Linked DNA regions of Alligator mississippiensis. The protein of the gene in region 1 interacts with the protein of each later gene in a pairwise test. Links are inferred from orthologs where the notes say so. Each region holds a gene or a part of one and is shown in the gene's direction. Other genes may lie near its edges.

Region 1 (9,692 bases):
CTTGCCTCAGCAGCAAGGGTGTCCAGTGATGAGGAACTCAGTTCTCAACACCCTCACTAGAGAAGAGAAAGCAGCTGGGAGGATGTAGTCACTATCTCCCAGCTGTTTTCTTCTACAGCTGCTTCTGTGAGGGCCTACTTTGCTGCTACAGTAGCTCTCTGAGCCACATTTTCTGTCCAGAACACGGCCTGCTGAGGAGAGGCTCGTTTCCAGAATGGAAGAAGAAGACACCATGTGTGGAAAGGTGTCTATTTATACCATCAAGCTCAACTAAGGGGCCTTTGTCCTCTGCTAGGTGGAAGGTAAGGCCTCCCAAGTAGAACCCTCAACTTCGGTCAAAAGGGCTGGATCCTAGCCCAATCAAAGGGAAGACCTGAAGTATTAAAAAGCCTCAGCAATCATGAAGAAGAGTAGCAATAAAGAGCCATGGCCCTCCAGTTTCCCTACTCTTCAAAGTAGGGAAGGGCTGTGGGCCCTGACTGCTTGGCTGGCATGAAGATGCAACTTCCACCCAGATGTGGGATCTTAATGGGAGTGGTCCCTGTTACCCTCCACTTGACAGGACAGCATCACTCAAGAACTGTAAAATGCCTAGGTCAATTGGGAATGGTGAAGAGGCAGGAGGACTGACTGATGGTGTGGATGAGTGACAATTTAAACTGGGAAGTTGAAAAATGACTGACCGGGGTGAGTATTGTGAAAAGGGAGGAGGGTCAACAGTGAATGAAATGGACACGACTGAGCATAGAGTAGGAGTGGGTCACACTTGGGAAGCTGACTGTCTGAGGAAAGTGCGCAATGAATTCACTAAAGAGTGACTTGTGCATGTTGGAGCAGGTGATGTGTGTGTGAGAAACTGGAAAAAACATTTTGAAGGGCATGAAGGAAAGATTCATCAGAGAGAATGGAATGAGAACACAGAAGGAGGAGAGAGAAGTACAACATCCAGGGAGAAGGAGGACGGGGGTGATGAAGGGATGAAGTACAAAGACAACAGTGTACAGAACAGCGGGATTAAAGGAAAAGCAAAGGGAGAAAGAATAAAAGAAATATAGAATGAATGAGTTATATTTTTAGAATATGTTCAGTGAAGAGTTGAACAATGTTAACATGAATATAGCAGTTGAGTTGTTTCTAACAAAGGGCACTGGGACTTTCCCTGATTCCACCGGAATTTGTCCTACTCTATAGATAGAGCCAATCCTACTATAAGAGGGTTCTTCTATGTATGGCTAAGAGAATGCCTCCCGCCCACCTTTAGAATGCATTCGATTGAAACAAATGGTACATATTTTTTTAAAAGTCTCCTGAAGAAAGACAGCCTTGGGTTCTCTGGAAGGTAATATGCAGTACATAGCAATTTATGAGTTGCTTATTCTTCCTTGAATCTCACAACTCAGCCCCAGAGATATCTGGAGTGAAATGCAGGATGCCTTGTGTTCTGGAAAAGTTAGAGGTATTGTGCTTACGTGGGAATCCTGGGGAGTGCATGAAAATCTAATAATCTTTACAATATAGAAAGCCTGTCCTGCAGTTTCCATTACTGTTATTTGTTCCATTACTATTATTTGTTCAGACACATTGTGTTATACACCTGACCAAACTGGCAGTGTTCCCTGCGTTGTTATGGCAGCATTGAGAATAAGTGAGAGTAAAATTGAAAATATGACAGGCAGCCTAGGATAAAAAAAGGTCATGCGGTTACTTGTTATGCACACATGAATTTGCCAAAAGATTGTAGAATATGTACAAAATCTCTGCAATTCTAACATGTTAACATCACCTTTCCTGGTGAAGTGTTTCCTCATGAAACTTCCTATCCTGTCCCCTATTGCTAGCCACCATCCCCGTTCATTACCCAGCATCTAGCTTCCCAAGCAACGCCTGTCTTTTTTTGCCATTCGTCCAAACTACACCCAAGATGCATCATCCTGCAAGCATTTTGCACTTCCTCTCCCTGCCGCCCCCCTCCTCCCCCCCAAATAAAAACTCCCTGCTGACTAGACAGCTGGCCATGTCCCTCTTGCAGATTCAGCCCACAGGATGAGACAGGACATTCCTTTTGTAGTGCTCCAAGCCCAGTGCCCAAAGGTTCTGGCTGCTCCTTTTGAGTTAGGTGGATACAAGTGGCCAAAAATAGGTGTCTGAACATCAGGATCCAGTGGTAGCTGTATTGGCCAGGTCTCTCCAATATCATGCTATGACCCTGTCCCCACCCTTGTTAGGAAGAAACCAACAGCTGCATTTGATCAGACCAAGAATTCACTTGGTTCTGAATCCTGTCTCTGGCAGCAGTCAGAACTAGATGCTGCCTACCTAAAATATCTGCTTTTGTACTGTCTAGCTCAGTGATTCTCCACCAGGGTGCTGTGACAGCCTGGGTGCCTTGAGATCCTTTCAAGGGTGTTGCAGGGTGCCACTCAATGTTAGCACTATTAAGTGTGCACACACAATTCACAAGATAAACCCAGAAATTCAAATAGGAATCCATAGTGGTAAAACCATTCTGACCTGATGTGGCCTCTTTGGCCGTATCTATATGAGTGTGGACTTGTGGTAAGTGACACTGCAGACCTGTCCCATACACTGCACATACAGGCATTCCCTGCACTTTGCAGCGTGGAGGGTTTTTTGACCCCTGGAGACTCTTGGGTTCCCGGATCAAAAAACCCAATGTCAGAAAAAAGTGGGGCGGCACACATGGCAGTGCACACCACCCGAAACCAGAGCCTGGCTGGCTGGAGCCATGCTCTGGCTGCTGGCCAGGCTCTTTGCTGCAGGAGCACTGTGGCTGCAGCTCCTGGAGGCCCCCAGGACCCCAGGTAAGGCACAGTTGCTGGCCTCAGCCTCCCCTACCCCACCCAGTGTAACCTGCCACACACCGGAGCACACTTGGCATGGGCATTCCCTGGGGACAAGTAGCAGCGGCATAAGGTGTGCCACTGCTACTTCTCCCCAGGGAAACACACTGTCATTTTCTCTAGGATTTCTCCATAGTCAAACACAAGTGAACACAAAGGGCTCGCATTTTCTGATGGATGTCTTGAGCCTAGAAGGGGGGACCTTGAGTCTGTCAAGGGGTGCCATGAGTCTAAAAATGGTTGAGTACCACTTATCTACCTCATCTCAATTGCTAAAGGTTAGAGCAGTGGTTCTTAACCTTTTTAGACCCAAGGCACCCCATGTTAAATTTCAGGTACTCATCAGAAAATGCTATTTCGGCTGTCACTTGCTTTTTGACTATGGAAACATACAGCCATTCTTTTATTGCGAAGAACTCAGAAAGACCACAACAGGGTAGAGTGTTTTTAAGGGTACAGATTCCTTGGTGTAATTTCTGGGTACATCATGTCAATCAAATTGAATGAACTAGTAATGGGTGGCCATGCCCCGCAAGTGAACTGCCCAAGTTGCAGTCCTCTAGCACCCCAGGATGCAGTGTCCCTTTCCTTACTCTCCTGTTCTGTGTGGACAAACTTTCCATCCCCTGAACTCTACTGCCCAGGCACCAAGCTAACATCTCCTGCCTTCCTGGGGAGTATGACCTGCCCTCCCCCATGGATACAACCATGCTAACAGCCTACTGTTCCTTCTCCCTCCCCCCCAGCCACATCCCCCCACATATAGAGCATGGCTAGAAACGTGTCCTAGCTCACCAGGACAAGTTGCAAGTCTCAGCAGCAAGTCCCAGCTGTAGCTCTCTGCTCACCAGCCCTCCAGCAGTAAGTCACAGCTGGGCAGGTGGGGAATAATCAGAGGAGGCTTTTAGCTAGAAGGTGTGATTGCTCCCAAACTCAAGGTAGCACTAACCAATCAGCATTTGAGTAACTCAGAGTCCAACATGTAGCAAGGCCCTTTTTCTGCAGCCTGCCTTGCTTCTTCCTGAACAACCCCAGGCATTTGGATACCCCATAGCCTGAATGGTTTCTCAGTACAACCACGCTTGGTGCTAGCCTTGAGGGCAGCCCCAGCCTTTCCCCTGTTCCGGGCCTCTGCTGGCGGCTCCTACACGGAGCTGTTGCCACAGGCATGTATCTGGCATGGTTTACGGATGCTCCTGACACCTGCCCTTTCTGCGAGCAGAGGGAGACCGTGGAGCAGAGGGAAACCGTGGAGCACACCTACCTGGAGTGCACCAGGCTGAAGCCCCTTCACGGCCTCCTTCAGAACCTCCTGCTGGGGTTCTGCCTGCACCAGGAAGGAGGCTCTGGGCAAGAGGACCCTGAGGACTGTGGGACTGCTTTCTTATCCCCAATGTGATCCTGTCTCCAGGCAGAGTATCACTGAGCAGTGTCCACTGGCACCTTGGACTCATTTGAGGGCCTGTGAGTGCTGTCCAGTGTGCTTTGCTTGGTGTCTCCCCTTGGCACTCTTGTTATGAACCTTTGACCTCCACTCCTGTCCCTGTTTTCATTATGATTTGTCCCAAGTAACCAGTCACACATCACTAGTGGCCCCCAGTACTAAAAGAGAGCTTATAGTATCCTTGGTGGGCCATGAAATCCCCTGATGTGTTAAAGTCCTGTCCCTGGTGTGATCCTTTCTCTGGGCAGAGTACCACTGGGCAGTGTCTGCTAGCTCCTTGGACTTATCTGAGAGCCAGTGGGTGTTGTCCGGTGTGCTATGCTTCATGTGCCCCCTTTGGGCACTTGTTTTAAACCTCTGACCTCACTCCCAGCCCTATTGTCTTTAATTGTTCCCAGAAATCAGTTATTTTCTACCTAGCGGCCTCCCTTTTTTAAGGGGGGCTTATAGCGTTCCCTTGTGGGTATTGGCCTGCATTACAGGCTGAGGGATACTCTCAGGGACTGCTTTCCTGTCCCTTGTCTGCCAGGGCTGCTGACTCTGTTTGAATCTATTCTGGGAGGTTTCCAGAACTCCAGTGTGCCCACGACACACAATGCCAACATGCCCACATGCTAGCATATATCAGTTCTGGGTTATGGTTATGGGCATGTAGACTTTATGGCAGGAAGACATGTGCATGTTCCTATTACATTTTAAAAACCCACCACCCTACAGCATAAATTGGATTCAACCTTTAATAATTATTTTAACTAATATCCTATCAGTTATGTCCCCGGTGACTCTCAGCAGTCTCCTGGAGATTTACATCTCATTCCTGAAGGCTCCAAGGCAGTCCTGGAAAGCTGGCAACCCTAAATGTGCCCACTCACCGCTGTCTGCTCAACCCTTAAATGTGTCTGCCCAACCCTCATGTCTGCTCAGCCTTTAAATGTGTCTGCTCAACCCTAAATGTGCCTGCTTACACTCCAAATACATCTGCTGAACCCTAAATGTGTCTGCCCAACCCTTTCTCTGCTCAACCCTAAATGTGCCTGCTCACTTCTGTCTGCTCCACCTGTAATGTGCCAGCTCACCCCATGTCTGCCCACCAGTAAATGTGCCTGCTAACCCCGTCTGCTGAACCCTAAATGTGTCTGCTCACCCCATAAATGTGTCTGCCCATCCCTTTGTCTGCGCAGTCCTAAATGTGTCTGCCCACCCCCTATGTCTCCTCAACCTGTAACGTGCCTGCTCACCCCCCAATGTGTCTGCCCAACCCCAAAGGTGCCAGCTCACTTCTCGGCAATTTCCCTGGGCAGGGCCGCTGGCTCCTTGGCGGCCGGGGGCGCTGTCCATGCTGCCGCGCTCGGGGTCCCCCCTCGGCTCCCTCACTCTGACCCTGTGATCTCCCCCGCCTTTGACCGGGTCCCAAGAAAAGGAGCCGGGAGTTTCCCAGGCGCCGCCTTGCCCGGGGAGGCTTTATGGTTCCTGGCGGCGGCCCCGGGCCGGGGTCCGGTGCAGACAGGCCCGCGGGCGAGGGGCAGCCCCGGGCGGAGGCGGCCCGCGGAGGCCGGGCGTGGGCGGCGCGGCTGCGGCTGCGTGCGGCGCCGGGGCGGGCGGTGGGAGGAGGCAGGGATGCACCCTAAGCCGGGGAGTCAGCTGAGGCGGGGAGAGGCCAGGCTCGGCGGCGTCGCCTCGTGTGCGCAGCGGCCGCACAAGTTTCCTTCGTGCTGCTCCGCGCCCGCCCGGGCTCCAACTTCCCGCCGCGGCGGCAGCGGGGGAGCGGCCAGGCGGGCCGGGCGCGCAGGTAAGGCTGAGCCGTGGCCGCGGGGTGCGCCAACTTCCTCGTCCCCGCTGCAAACTTGGCGGGCCCCCAGCCCCTGCGCCGGGACGCGGCCGCCCCAGCCCCCGCCCCCGCCCCGCCGCTTCTCCAGTCCCCGCCGCGGGGGCACAGCGGCTCGCAGCCGCCTCCGCTGGGGCTGCCCCTCGGCGCTGCTGTCCCGGCCTCTCCCTGGCTTGCCATCGAGAACGGGCTGCAGCCCCGGGCTCGGGCGGGGAGGGCTCGTCTGTCTAACCTTGCCGCCCCCCTCTTTTCTTTTTTCTCCCCCTCCCCCCCGAGCCTTGGAGAAGCGGGGCTGAAGGGACCCGGCGAAGTTAGGCTGCCCGAGGCAGGATCCGACCCATCCCAGCCTCCCAACGCTTTTCTTTTGAAGCTGGGCAGAAGTCTGTATTTAAAGCGGGGTGGCAAGTGCTGATTCAGCAGGCGGCTCTGAAGCGGTGCTCTCTGTGCGTGAAGAGGGGGGGAAAGGGAAGAAATGTTTGGATTTGTTGAACCGGGAGCATATGGCGCTGGCATGTCAGAGCAGCATGGGTCCAGGCTTACTGAGCAGCTCTAAGCGGGCTTCTCGCTGCCCGTTTTGTCTCCTTGAAGGAGAGGGGTGGGACGGAAGGCAAAGTTTGGGTACGTCTCTCCCTCTTTCCTTCAGTTGCATTCGGATGATGGGTTGGAAAGGTTGCTGCTTCCTACAGGGGTGGATGTTTTAATTCTTTGTTGCTGTTTTATTTAACTGCTCCGGCTACAAAAAGCTGCCTTGGTCCACCACGAAAGCTCTAACTTAATTTCTTCTTCCATGCATGGACCTGCCTTATTTACGGCACTGGAAAAGGTACAGAGAAGGGCAGCAGGGCTAATCCCAGGATTAAAAGGAGTGAGTTATGAGGACGGGTTTAAAAAAAAAAGTGTACGGTGCTTAGAAAACCTGACTGGTGTGCCTCAAATGCCAAAGGCTGAATGGTGGAAATGATACTCCTGTTGGCTCCTCCTCTGCAAAGGCAAGAGAAAAGATATTAAGCATGTTCTGCAGTTACGGTGCTCCTTACCTAGAAGGTCTGATGAGAAGAGATGCAGCTATTTAAGAAGCGTATTTTTCTCTTTCTCATCCTTTGGTCTCAAGGTGTGCATTTCTATTCTAACCAATACATCGAACTTTTGATTCTGAAGCTTGCTTTGCTAAAAAAAAACCCTAAAAATATCGATTTGTCTTTTTAAAATGCTGCACAGTGTAGGGTAAACAAAGCTTGGAAAGCAACACTTGGTGGTGTCTGTTCTGAACTATGAATTGATAGAAAGGCAGACTTGTACACCTGCCTTCAGTGATTTTCCCTCCCATACACACACTTTTTTTTGTACTGTACTTCATTTGCACTCTTATTTGCTCTTAGAGGTAGCTTCTGTTTGCTCTGGCTGGGTGTTAGATCTTATGGTACTTCTGTGGTTTTCCTTGGTTTTGATAATCCAAATATTCTCTCCTGTCTTGCTCCATGTATCTGGCTTTCATCCTCTAATCCAGTTGTGACACTCTTTCAATGGTGTTTTGTCTTCTAGTCCAGAAAGCTTTCCCTAATTGCAAAGCGCATCTGTTTTTGGTTCTGCTCACAGAACCTGGCTGATGTCATTGTAGTTTCTTATAGACACTGGGTTTCTTCCTGTATTGCAGCCCAGTGTCTAAAAGTAGCTGGATCCAACTAGCTATGGGATCCCTCCAGCCTGGGGAGTCCCGGGTGGCAGAGAAGTTGTATAACTGTCAAATACCATTTCTTCCAGGAGCTGTTGTAGGATGGGGTGAGAGGGTTGGGGGCATATGACTGTGCTAGCCTGTGTTTCTGATGAAACCCAGTTAGCAGTGTCCTACTGGAGGCTGGTGCCAGCTGGTGTGTACCCCACTGGCTTATGTCTAAATACCACAGTCTGGCTTTGAGAACCAAGCAAAGAGGTACAATAAGAAAACTCATTGTCAGCCATAAGAGAATGACACACATGTTTTTAAGGCATTACATGAACATTCCTTTTAGCACCCTGGATTAATTTAGTTGTTTGGGTTCCCTACGTAAAACGTGTGCGACAGAGTAAGAGCTCTAGGGGGAGAAACTTCTGTAGTAAGGCTAGATTTCTTCACTTTAAAAGTGTTTGCTTGAAAGCGTGCTGAGCAAATCTTACAAAAACTGTTTGAATGTAGTCTCATGGGATGTGGTCGTGTTGCAGTAGTGAACTTTTCGCACCTCCATTTTGACTATCTGATTTAGTTTATTACTAAGGATGCATGGCTTTCAATTATAAGGTCTTCTCTAAAGAGCTTCTTTTCTATGTATGCTAACTGAAGGCCCATGCCCCATATCTGGTTATACCTGTGGGCATCATCCCAGGAATTGGTCTGAGAGCAGCTCCTAGTCACTTTCACCTCTGCACATCATTAATGAGGTTTTGTGACAGGTGAGGGTGGGGCTGTGACTCCTCCCCTTTTGGATCAGTTTCATCCTTTCTAGGAATGAAGCAACCAAAGAAACCTATAACAGAGGTATCAGTCTCAGTTCTTTTCTTTCAGCCTTGCCACTAGTTGCTGGCTCAGAAGCTACTTTCCGGCTCTAACTCAGATGTGACAAGTAAGTGCTGCTTTCCTTTCTCTTTCTCCAGAGCCAGATAAGAGCAACATGGGTGTCATGGCAACATTATTTCAGGTAAATGGATGCCTGATGCCATTGGCCCGTGCTTCATTCTACCTGTTGTTGTTGCTGGTGGTTGTTCAGTGTTTGTTCTGTTTCCATTGCTTCTATCCCACTAGGCTTGCAAATCTACCTGCTCCCAGACCTCGACATACTCCAAACCAGATCCAATTTATCTGCCTTTCTCCTGGCCTCTGTAGATTTGGACATCTGTTCCTTCACTCACACAATTAACTCAGAGTTCAAATCAGGAGGAAAGGAAATGTAAAGGTAATGTTGCTAAGGAAATGTAAAGTATACAAAGGAAATTGGATTCTATTGCCTACATGCCGACTAGAAGCAGGCCGCACAAAGTGACATGACTTATCCTTGTGGGACAAGGCAAGGCCAGCCAGCAGACAATCTTTGACCACACCAGTGCTGAAGCATCTAACATAGTCTGCATTGTCAGACCTTGTTGGATGAAACTGGGAACTCTCTACTAGCTCAACTTGTTCCTCCAGGATAACTACTTCATTGCAGGACAAGGTAGGATAAGAAGCCAGACAGCGGTGCCTTCATCTTTTCATCAAACAGTCAATGCAAGGGAGGTGCCTTGAGCACGAAAATTCAAGCTTAATTCATATGAGAGCAGAAATGATTCGGGTCTAACAGATTGCATGCTCCTTTACAGGTTAGTGCCATCAGTGTTGTAGTTAAAGTTTCATCCTGAGAGACTTTAACATGCTCATCAACAAGTCTGTGAAAATCCAAAAGCTCAGTTGTTCACTGAGACAGACTATTCCTGGTTCAATTCAAGTAGCTGGTCACAATCTAAATCTGGTCCCTTAGCCCAGGGGTGGCCAAATATGGCCTGAATGCCAGATCCGGCCTGCCAGGTGACTGGATCCAGCCCACGGCATCCA
Region 2 (9,883 bases), on another chromosome or scaffold:
ATAAGTACAGGAAAGGCATCCATAAATTTAAGAACACCATGAGTTTTTTTTATATATACTGAAGGCCATCAAGAAAGGGAAAGTTCTTCCTCTCAGCTCTTGCCCCAGTCTGTCTTCCTTCCAGAACAGCGCATACCAGATTGCTGCTCTGTATCTTCACCTGCCTATTTTGCTTCTTAAACTGTGAGCAGCACTAAACTGTGAGCATGGAATAATAAATAGAAAAATGTCTGATCTTTAATGTCAGGTGGGAGAACTGCTAAACAATTAAACTGTGTATATATCTCCACATATTATATTTTATAAATCACGCTTTTTTAGCTAAATATTTATAATGTTTTTATACTTTAAAACAAAACAGATAACTGCATCTTTGATTATTTCTGCTGTTGCTAAAATGTATAAATAAAGCCTTCTTTATCCACAGTCTTGTCAGTGCCTCTTCTTAGGTCCTCAGACATACCATTGTATTCAAGAATTGCCAGCACTGATCCTGTAAGTCTCAAATGTCTGCACACTGCACAACTCCAGTTATGAGAAGCAGATAAATCTACCTCAAACTTATAATGTTTCCACTACAGCATAACTTCCTAGCTATGCAAAAGCTAAAGTTTTTCATCCAGAAAGGCCTGGTGTTGTATAAAGGTATTAAATACTGCCCATTTAAGAGGGATAAAAAGTTCAATTTCCCCTCTACCATGGTGTCCTATTCCTTGAGGATTCTATATTGGTAAAGGAACTGAGGGGTGGTTGGGCCCATAGCCTTTATGCCCTCAGATGGAAGGACAGAAGCATAAGATCCTGGTGGCAAAAAAAAAAAAAGGGCAGGGAGGAAGCAAACAGCCACTCATGTATGGAGTGCATGTGCACCAACCAGTGAAGTCCAAGTGGATATAATGAAGCTGAACCTAGATATGAGGTATGTGATCTGATTTTGTTCTCTGAGACTGTCAGGTACAGCAGGTAAGCTGGCTTTGGTGGCTGCATTGATGGTTCACCAGATCCAAATACCACAACTGCCTGGACCATGCAGTGTGACCCTCTTAGTCATTAACCCTGTCTCTTGCCTTGGTTTCCTCAAAAGTCTTGGTATTATAGAGGTTGAAAGTAAGATGTAGATTGCTCTGTGGCCAGGGGATGAAAAGCATCTGACAGGGAGCCAGGACTGGAACCTTCTCTGGAATAAAATACTTGGCATTTCTTACTCTGGTCTGTGGAAAATGTTTATCGATGGATGCAACTCTGCTTGTAAGAGAGACTGCAGTACTGGGTTTTTGACTGACCATGTGTGGCTGTCTGAGAACTGTCATATTAAACAATCTGTTAATAAGTTTTAAAAGCATGGCAAATGTAGGGCCAGAGATGTATTTGTCACTGTATTGCACCAAATACACTGGACTTTAGACAAAATTAAATTACTTGGTTCCACTGCTGACATGACACACACCTGTGGTAGTATCTGCCAGAAGCTGAAGTTTTAAATCTTTGTATAGAAGCAGAAATACTTTGTATGTCAGGCACATGGCTCTGCATCATGGGATATTTTTAAGAAGCTCATCTACACATGAGGGATTTGGTTCCCTAATCTGAGGTTGATACAGATGTGCCATTCAGGATTGCTAGCCCAAGAAACTTGGGCTTTTTGTCTCTCTGTTGTTTTATTGACAACCAAACTTTCTTTTACTGACACTTTTTTTTTTTAATACTGGTATGTTTTTATGTAATGTAAATGTAATTATTGAGCTGAGCCCTGCCCTGTTGCCATGCACCAGTTAGAAAGACTGGGTTCATATTTAGGGGGTTTAACACCAAACATAGTAAAAATAAATGAATAAATAAATAATTGTCAATAAAAAGTTTCAGGAAAAATGTTTTAATATGTATAAAATATATATACTTATACATGTATAAAACACTTTTATATATAAATATCCTTGGGTTGGCACCACTGCTCAACCACAGCAATGGTTTTGCACCATGGTGCTTCCAAGCCAGGGGTTGTCTGCTTGCTCTCATACCTCACTGTTCCCCACTGCACTCTACGCTGTGCTTCTCCCCCCAACCTTACCCCATCCCAACACGGGTGCCCATCTACAACCCACAGTACTGCAGGATCGGACACAGTAGCAGCAACAACAGCATGTGGCTAGTGGGGCAGGGGTCTGCAAAGCCCCAAGAAGAGTGCTGTACTCCTGCTTGGACACCAGCTGGCAGCGCTCTGTTCTGCTCTGTTAGAAAACAGCCAGAGCTTGATTGAAAGACTATCAAGCAGACTGACAGCTTTGTGTTTTTATGGACTTGTGGGGAGCCCTGTGGGCTGGACGTTGAGCACCACTGGTCTGGGTCTTTACCCAGGAAGCTGGTTTTACGTGGTCTCAAGAACTTGGAGGAACTTCCAAAGAATGATTTCCTTTCTGCCATCTTGGCAATTAACTCAGTGACTGAAAATAAACCCTTCTGTGTTTCTGGCCTGCTGGGAACATTATGTGCTATCAATCACAGGTGAACAAGTACTTTTTACTATAATCAAAACAAAGGCTGGTGAGATATATTTACTGCTGCATCTTAAACACTGATATTTTATGATACTTATTTTCCTTTTCAAAGGCTATGTAGTTCCTAGCTCCACACATATTGTAAAGTAAGATATATCTTGCTTCTATCAAGCTAGGACACAGTGAAAAGGGCTGGTCAATAAAGGTGCTTTTAGTTAATTAAAGGTCCTTTACCTCACTCTCCCAGTTTTGCAATCAAATTGATTTAGTGTTCCAAAGGATTTCTACCCACATAATGACCTACAGTAACCAGTAGTCGTCTTTATAGTTACACCATGGATGAGTTTAGCCACATAGGCAGAAGGCAGGGTAGATTTGCACCTTAGACTAAATAAATTATAGATGCAGAAGCTTTTGTAAGCAGTGGCTTACTCCATCAGATACTATAAAGGGACTGCAGGAAGTGAAGCTTCAAATAGAAAGCAGTGATTAGAATACAAAGGTCAGGAACCAGGAGGAAAAAAGGAGGGGGCACTGCTGGCAGATGCAAGGTGAATAGAAGAGAGGAAAACAAAGTGGTTAAACCATTGAGGGACATAGGTGTTCTAAAAGCTGAACAAGATAATGGGATAAGAATCCATAGTCTTGATTTGAACCATATTTAACACAACCTGCTCTGTAGATGATTTCTGCAATTTCCAGTTAAAGCTAGTTTTTAAAGTTGTGGTGTCTAAGAACAGTTGCTCTGAGGTCAGCAATGGATTAAACAGTCATGTTTTGTGTCTGTCATTGTTTGTGGTTGACCATAATGGAAACCTTGGAACAAATCTACCAAGATACAAAGGTGCTGTTTGAATTTTCTTATAATATTATGAAAAGATACTTCTGCAGAGAAAATAAGTTTAAAACATCCCTTGAAAATGTATTTGGGCTTCTCTAACCAAAAAAAAAAAGGGTCCAACTTTAAATTTCTCCCAGATGAGTCACAGGCCACTTCTGAACCCTCAGAATAAAATACCGTGAGTTATTTACATCATCTAACTGATCTGTCAAGAAAATGCATTGGGACAATGTTCTCTAGTAAACTTGCAAGTTCCTGTTCTGAAATGTGGGGTGCCTCCCTCCCTCCATGATCTCTTTTTCATGCTGCTCTAACCACTATCAAGAAGCTAGGAAAACTGAAATCCAAGTAGTCACAGGCCAGAAATTTACAGCTTTGCTACAGCTAGGCTTTCTCTTGCCACACTCCGAGGGAGGAGCTTTGTTTTAAGATTCTTGTTGGAATGTGATTAGTCTTATCATTTTGCTGTGAACTCAAAACACGTTCAAGGACCAATAGCCTTTTTAGCTCATTAGCTCAGAAAATTGTGCATGTTCACTGTTGTGTCATCTAGGGCCAGCATTCAGTGTGCAGTATCAGGTATTTACCAGCTTCCAAGATCTGAAATAAAAACCAAATGTGTTTAGGCCAGAACTCTTGATTAAAGAATGTTTTTTCCAGCTGCAAATGGTAATTCCTTTGATGTTGCATAATAGCTAAAAATAGGTTTTATGACTAAAATAGCCAGCATCAAGTACTAATATGGTTTTTAAGACTATAAATAAACGACTATTTTTAGCTGGGAAAGCCCTGCCCTATACTCCTACTGACCCAAAAGCAGATAACATTTGGGATCTGCAAGAATACTTATGGGTGATATCTTTTATTAGACCAACAGTATAGTTTGTATACACCAAGGCAAGCTATCGGGTGTGTCAGTACCCTTTCTCAGGCCTCTGAGCCAGAAGCAGACATAGCTGAGCTAAAAAGCAGATGGAACAAAAAGTAGGCTTATTGTTACTTATGAACTGCGGGGGTTAGGGCAGTGAGACAGGGGTTAGGGCAACCGAGTGTCTTGAGATCCTTTCAAGGGTACTATGGGGTGCAACATGATGTTAGTACTGTTATCTGTGCAAACATGGCTCACAGATAGGAATCTATAGCATTAAGGACATTCTCATCCAATGTGGTCTTTCTGGGTGCTTTGCAACAGAAAAACTGCTCTATTATTTTTCTGTAGTAAAAAATGAGGGAAAATTTAAGTGTTCACATTTTTTGAGGGAGGCTTTGAATCAAATGAAGGGTGCCTTAAGTGCAGAAAGGTTGAGAGTTGGGGAGTATCAGTGTTAGGCCCCTTACATCAGGACAGTTATGATGGACCACAGAGTCATTGGGATCTGGTTACAGACCATCAATTTGTTGTGCTTTAAACCCTGTACACCAAGGCCTTCCAGTCCCAGCCTGTCTTCACGACCCTCAGTGCCCTGACAGCACCAGCAGGCCTGGCGGTGGGTGGCCACGGGACTGTTGCTCTCTTGTACACGGCAGGTGAGGCCGGCCCACGTTTTAACGCAGCGCGGTCCTGTCGGAGCCAGGTCGTAGCTGTGACAGCCCAGGAGCCATGACAGCCCAGGCGAGGCGTTTTTGGGGGCGATCTCTTTCACGGACCAGCTGGGCAGTTCAGATGCAGTTAGCGCGTTTCCGAAGGACGCTGCTTATCGGAGACTCGCGGGCTCCGTCCCAGCCATGAAGCTGGCCCCGTAAGAGCAAGGCGTAATTAATGCCCAGCTCTACCATAGCCGGTCGGCTCTCCAGCCACCTGGAGGGCTGGTTTTGATGGGGTGACTTGGCACGTGGCCGGTGTGTGAGGCGATTCCCCAGATTGCTGCGCCGTACAGGTGCCGCGGGTCTGCAGCGGGGTCAGGCGCGTTGCTGCCCGCACAAGCGGCCGGGCGGCCGTGTGGGTCCCCGCACAGCAGCACCAGCGCGTGACGTCAGCAGCGTCGGGTCGTTCCCCACGAGGCGGGGGGTACTAGGGCGCATGCGCGCGTCCATCCGGGCCCGCGGGGGGCGGGGCTCCCGGTCACGTGACTCTGCGTGGCGGCGCGACCGCCATCTTGTGTTGTTGGGACTGAGGCTTCGCTTCGGCTCCGTGGGACTCTCCGTTCGGGACCGTAGGTAGTGCCGCCGCCCCGCCCGCCCGCTTCTGCCTCTCTCCCCCTAGGCGGCCCCCACCCACTCCTGCCCCACTCCGCTCCGTTACGGGGCTGCGCTGGGGCTGCAGGCCTAGGCCGCGCGCCGACCCCGGCCTCGCCTGCGGCTGCTGCCTGGCGCGGGGCGGGGGACGCCTCCGCGGGGCGACGAGCCCGGACGCTGCTGCGCCCGCTGCTCCCCGGGCCGCCCCGGCCTGCTCGTCCCGCTGACGCGTTGCGGTCTGCCAGTGCCGCACGGAGGCCGCGACAGGGCTGGGCCTGGGCCTTCCCTCCGCGCGGCAGGACGGGCCTAGCCGTCCCTCGGGGCCCGCGTGGTGGCCGCTGGTCCGAGGCAGGTCTCAGCCCCGCGTCCTCCCGGGCCCGTGCTCCTGTGCGCCTCTGGCAGCCGTCCGTGCTCCTACTCTGGGGCTGCGTTTTGGGAGCCTGAAGTGCCTTTCACTTGGGTATTTTTTTTGTGCCTCTTCCTAACTTTTTATTTCCTGCCGTTTGCCTTTCATGCCTCAGGAGCAACCCCATGCAGAGCCTCTGTGGGTTGAATCCTGGACTCCCAGAGCAGTGGGGCTGGAAGGGACCTGCAGGGTCACATCAGGCGGGTCCCCCTGCATAAGGCAGGGTGCATCTCTGTCCAAACCATCCCAGTAACCTGTGATTTAAACGCTACCTAAGGCTTCCTTCCTTCCTCCCTGATTCTGCTGATTTGGTTCTTAAGGTTATTTTTTTTAATTGTTGAGGCTTGCTGGAAGTGTGATAGCCCTTCTCCACAAATGTTAACATAGCTGAGGAAAGAAAGCTTGGTCTCTAATACTTTTAAACTCTCCTGGTAATGCAGCCATCTCTGCTGCTAGAAGCAGTGAAAGATGAGGCATCTGTTTTTTGTACTTAATTATCGAGCCCTCTTTTAGCCACTTTAGTTGATGATAGAGTTTAAAACAGCAACAACAACTACAGCCCATTAGCACTAGCAGCAATAACCAGAAGCATTGTTATAGGGGGAGAATTTCTTAAAAATAATTGTGTAAGTGTTGGCTCATTGTAGGGAGTTGCAGTCGGAGCATGTGCCACAGCATGGACTTCTCACTGAATACATGAGTAAAATGCAGACAAGGTTCCTTGGGTGAATTTGATATCTTTTATTAGACCAACCCAAATAGTTGGAGAATATTTATTAAGCAGCTTTCAAAAACCCTTCGTCAGGCTAAGGGAGTAAAATGCAAGCATTTGCAGCCTGGTAAACTGTTTTACATGGCAAACGGGTGTTATCCATGTAAATGGCACATGTTGCTGTAAATGACATTTTACGTATTACTCATACTCTTGTCTCCACTGATGTCTGGAGACCTCTTTCAACTGCCTCAGAAAATTGCATTAAATCTGACTCTGTTAATAACTTCAGGAGTTGGGCAGAGCCCTATGCTGTCTGGGAAGATGGACATGCACAGAGATAATTTCTCTCCACATTTGTTGCATAGGTTTTTCTGAACATCTTAGTCTAGTTTTTCTTTTTTAAGCAAAATATAGAATTAAAAATCTGTCAAAGCTCCCTGCTGCTGCAGGGAAAAGCACCAGTTGCGGACCCTCCATGCCACTGCATGGAGCAGTGGCTGTGGTGCATGCTTTCCCTGTGCACTTGCTGCCAGAAATCATGGTAGCAGTGACTTGGCCCTAGCGCCTGCCCTCCACATGTCCATCTTTGACCCAAACTGGGTTAGTATGACTGATGAAGTTCCGCATTGGTGGGCTGCATCAAATGGTTCTGCAGGTTGCATGCAGGCTGCGGGCTATAGGTTGCTAGCCCCTACTATAGATTATCTAAAGCATCTAATAAAATGAGCTGAGGCTCACAAAAGTATATGCACCTCTGACTTAAGTCTATGAGCTTCGTCTCTGCTCTGCCTTCTGCTTCAATATTTATCTTGCGGTCTTTGTTTACTGCTCATTACTTTGGGAATAAGGCATCTTCAAAGGATTGTAACACATGTATGAAACTATTTCTTTTAATGCCTTGAAGATTCTTGCTTCATGAAATGCACTGACTTGCAGGGTGCCTAAAAATAGGTGTTCTGCAGGAGTTTTTCATCTAAAAAATATCCAATAAATATAAAACCTTAGAAGTCAACCTTTTCTGTGAAAAGCTTGTATTGGTCATAGTTAAATATAAAGCTGTTGTAACTGAAAAGTTGGTGAAGAGTGACTCCACGTCTTGTGCACACCAACCTGCATCCAGTTTTGCTTTGTATATAGTTTGTGTGTGCGCACACGCGTGTGTGCGTGTGCATGCACACAATTTTCCTTGTATAATTAGTTCACTTTGAGCACGGTGAAAAGTCTCATGTGCACCAAGACAGGAATATCCCTGTGAGTATGCATGTCAAAGGAATGTAAAGCAAGCAGGAAGTTCTTGAGAGAACTGTTATTTGAAAAGGGTGTCAGCAGGAACTCAGGATTTCTTAAAGCTAAAATTGGAAGAAGAAAAATAAAGTTGATGGTGCCGTTTAGAGTTATAAATTCTTCTGAAACAGTCTTATTAAATTATGCGTCCTGACTGATCTGTACAATTGAGATGTGACTGGTAATGCACCTGCATATTGTGGCTCACATTGATCTGTGTTAATGTTTAGGATAGATTGTCTGATAGTTGACAGATCTGCCAAAGGTACTTTGAAGTGTTTTAAAACACTCTCAAGGGAAAAGCAGTTTGACACCTTTAGATTAATGTGCCCTAAAAAGGAGAATTGAGGGTGGGAGTGGGGACTGGTGTTTTCGTGCAGCTTCGTTGTATTTAGATTGCGAACTCTTTAGAGTTTCTGTTTGGTTTTTAAAATTCGAAATATCAAAACGTAAATTTTGTCTTCCTTGCTCTTGTGTGAGGTCTTCTTGAAAGTCTAGTTAATAGGCAATAGTATTTTTTTCAGTCGATAATCAAAATACCTTTTTTTTAAAAAGGTATTACAGACTGTCCCATTGAGAATTTGAATGAAAGAGATTGAAGCGCTCTTGTTATTTTTTAAACAGTCTATCCATTTCCCTCTGAATTATTCAGACGTACCTTCTTTGGTGTTTATGGTATCCCCTGTTCATGTTCTGTGACTTGCAGATAAATCAGATTTTAATTTTTAAATGTAAACAGTTGGGGTTAGGGATGACAGCATAAACAAACAAAACCCTTCCTGGTTCCTTTTTTAGACCAGAAAGAAACAAGAGAATGAACTGACTTCTTAACTTTATTTTCCTTCCTACCTGTGCAGGTTTCCTGCAAGATCTTTGGAATGTTTTGGTAACAGGAAGCTCATCCCTTATTGTGAGACATATCCATTTCTCACAATAAAGAGGCTTTATTAATGCATTGGCATGTCTTATTTTAATTCGTCAAGTGATATTTGAAAACAAAGCATTTGATATCTTCTTTTGGCATCTGTGTCCTCTTTCATGGGAATGAACTACATTATCCAAAGGTTTGCTTTCTTCCCCATCTCTTGAAGTCAGGTTTTGAGATCTGTATTCAGCCTGGCAAAAGTGGTTTGGCTTGAAAACTTTTCACTTGCAACAAATTTTGCTCAGGCTGTACTTTAAAGAAATTAGGTTGTATCAAAGAAGAATTATTAATGTTAAATAATGTTTTTTATGGTGTATGTGAACAGCTTGTCATCTTGTGATTTGTTGTAGCATATAAAACATAAAATTCTACTGCACTTTATTATTATAGCAGACTTCTTTAGTTCAAATGATAACAGCAAATTGTGAAGATTTAGGATTAGAATCTCATTCCTAGCTTTACAAGTTTGTATGGTTGCCTTTCCTGCTAGTTGTTTAAATACCGTATTTACCTACATCTGAGATGACTTGGTCATATTAAGGATGATTCCTTAGTAATTAGATTCTGTACATGAGAAATGTATAGGTTGGCTATAATTTTCCATGTACAGAATTTAATTATTGGAGGGTCATCTTAAATTTGTGCAATATCCTGTCCTGTGCTGTCCTATCCCTCCCCTATCACTGTAGTGGGAAAAGCAAGATTGGGGGGGGTGGCAGGCAGTGGGATGTCAAGTGGCTAGAGTCCTGCCCCTTAGGGCCCCCACCCCTTGCAGCTGCAGCCTGAGCTGATTCTACTGCAATTGCTGCTGCCTGTGTGTGGGGCTGGAACGGTGCTTTATGCCCCAGGCTGGAGCAAAGTTGTAGTTACTACTGAGCATAAGTGGTGGCAACTTAGGGCCAGAGTTCCAGCAGCTGTCTATCCCCTGTTTTGTAATCAAATCAGAGATATGGGGCTTCTTTCCCCATGTTGAATGCAGAGGGAGGTGGGGGGGGGATCCTTATCTTGAAATTGTCAAGTGTCTTGTCTTCAAAGTGTGAGG

The links.
Region 2: the proteins of GRB10 (region 1) and GIGYF2 interact in a two-hybrid assay, tested with the Homo sapiens proteins (2 studies listed by BioGRID). The link is inferred for Alligator mississippiensis from reciprocal best matches to the Homo sapiens genes GRB10 and GIGYF2.

The regions. Positions count from the first base shown.
Region 1 is NC_081828.1:91,955,410-91,965,101, forward strand, and holds the start of GRB10 (growth factor receptor-bound protein 10), read left to right. Parts: upstream 1-5,938; 5' UTR 5,939-6,094; intron 6,095-8,669; 5' UTR 8,670-8,727; intron 8,728-9,692.
Region 2 is NC_081830.1:38,591,588-38,601,470, forward strand, and holds the start of GIGYF2 (GRB10-interacting GYF protein 2), read left to right. Parts: upstream 1-5,393; 5' UTR 5,394-5,489; exon of another isoform or gene 5,490-5,493; intron 5,494-9,883. UniProt on the Homo sapiens protein: Key component of the 4EHP-GYF2 complex, a multiprotein complex that acts as a repressor of translation initiation. In the 4EHP-GYF2 complex, acts as a factor that bridges EIF4E2 to ZFP36/TTP, linking translation repression with mRNA decay.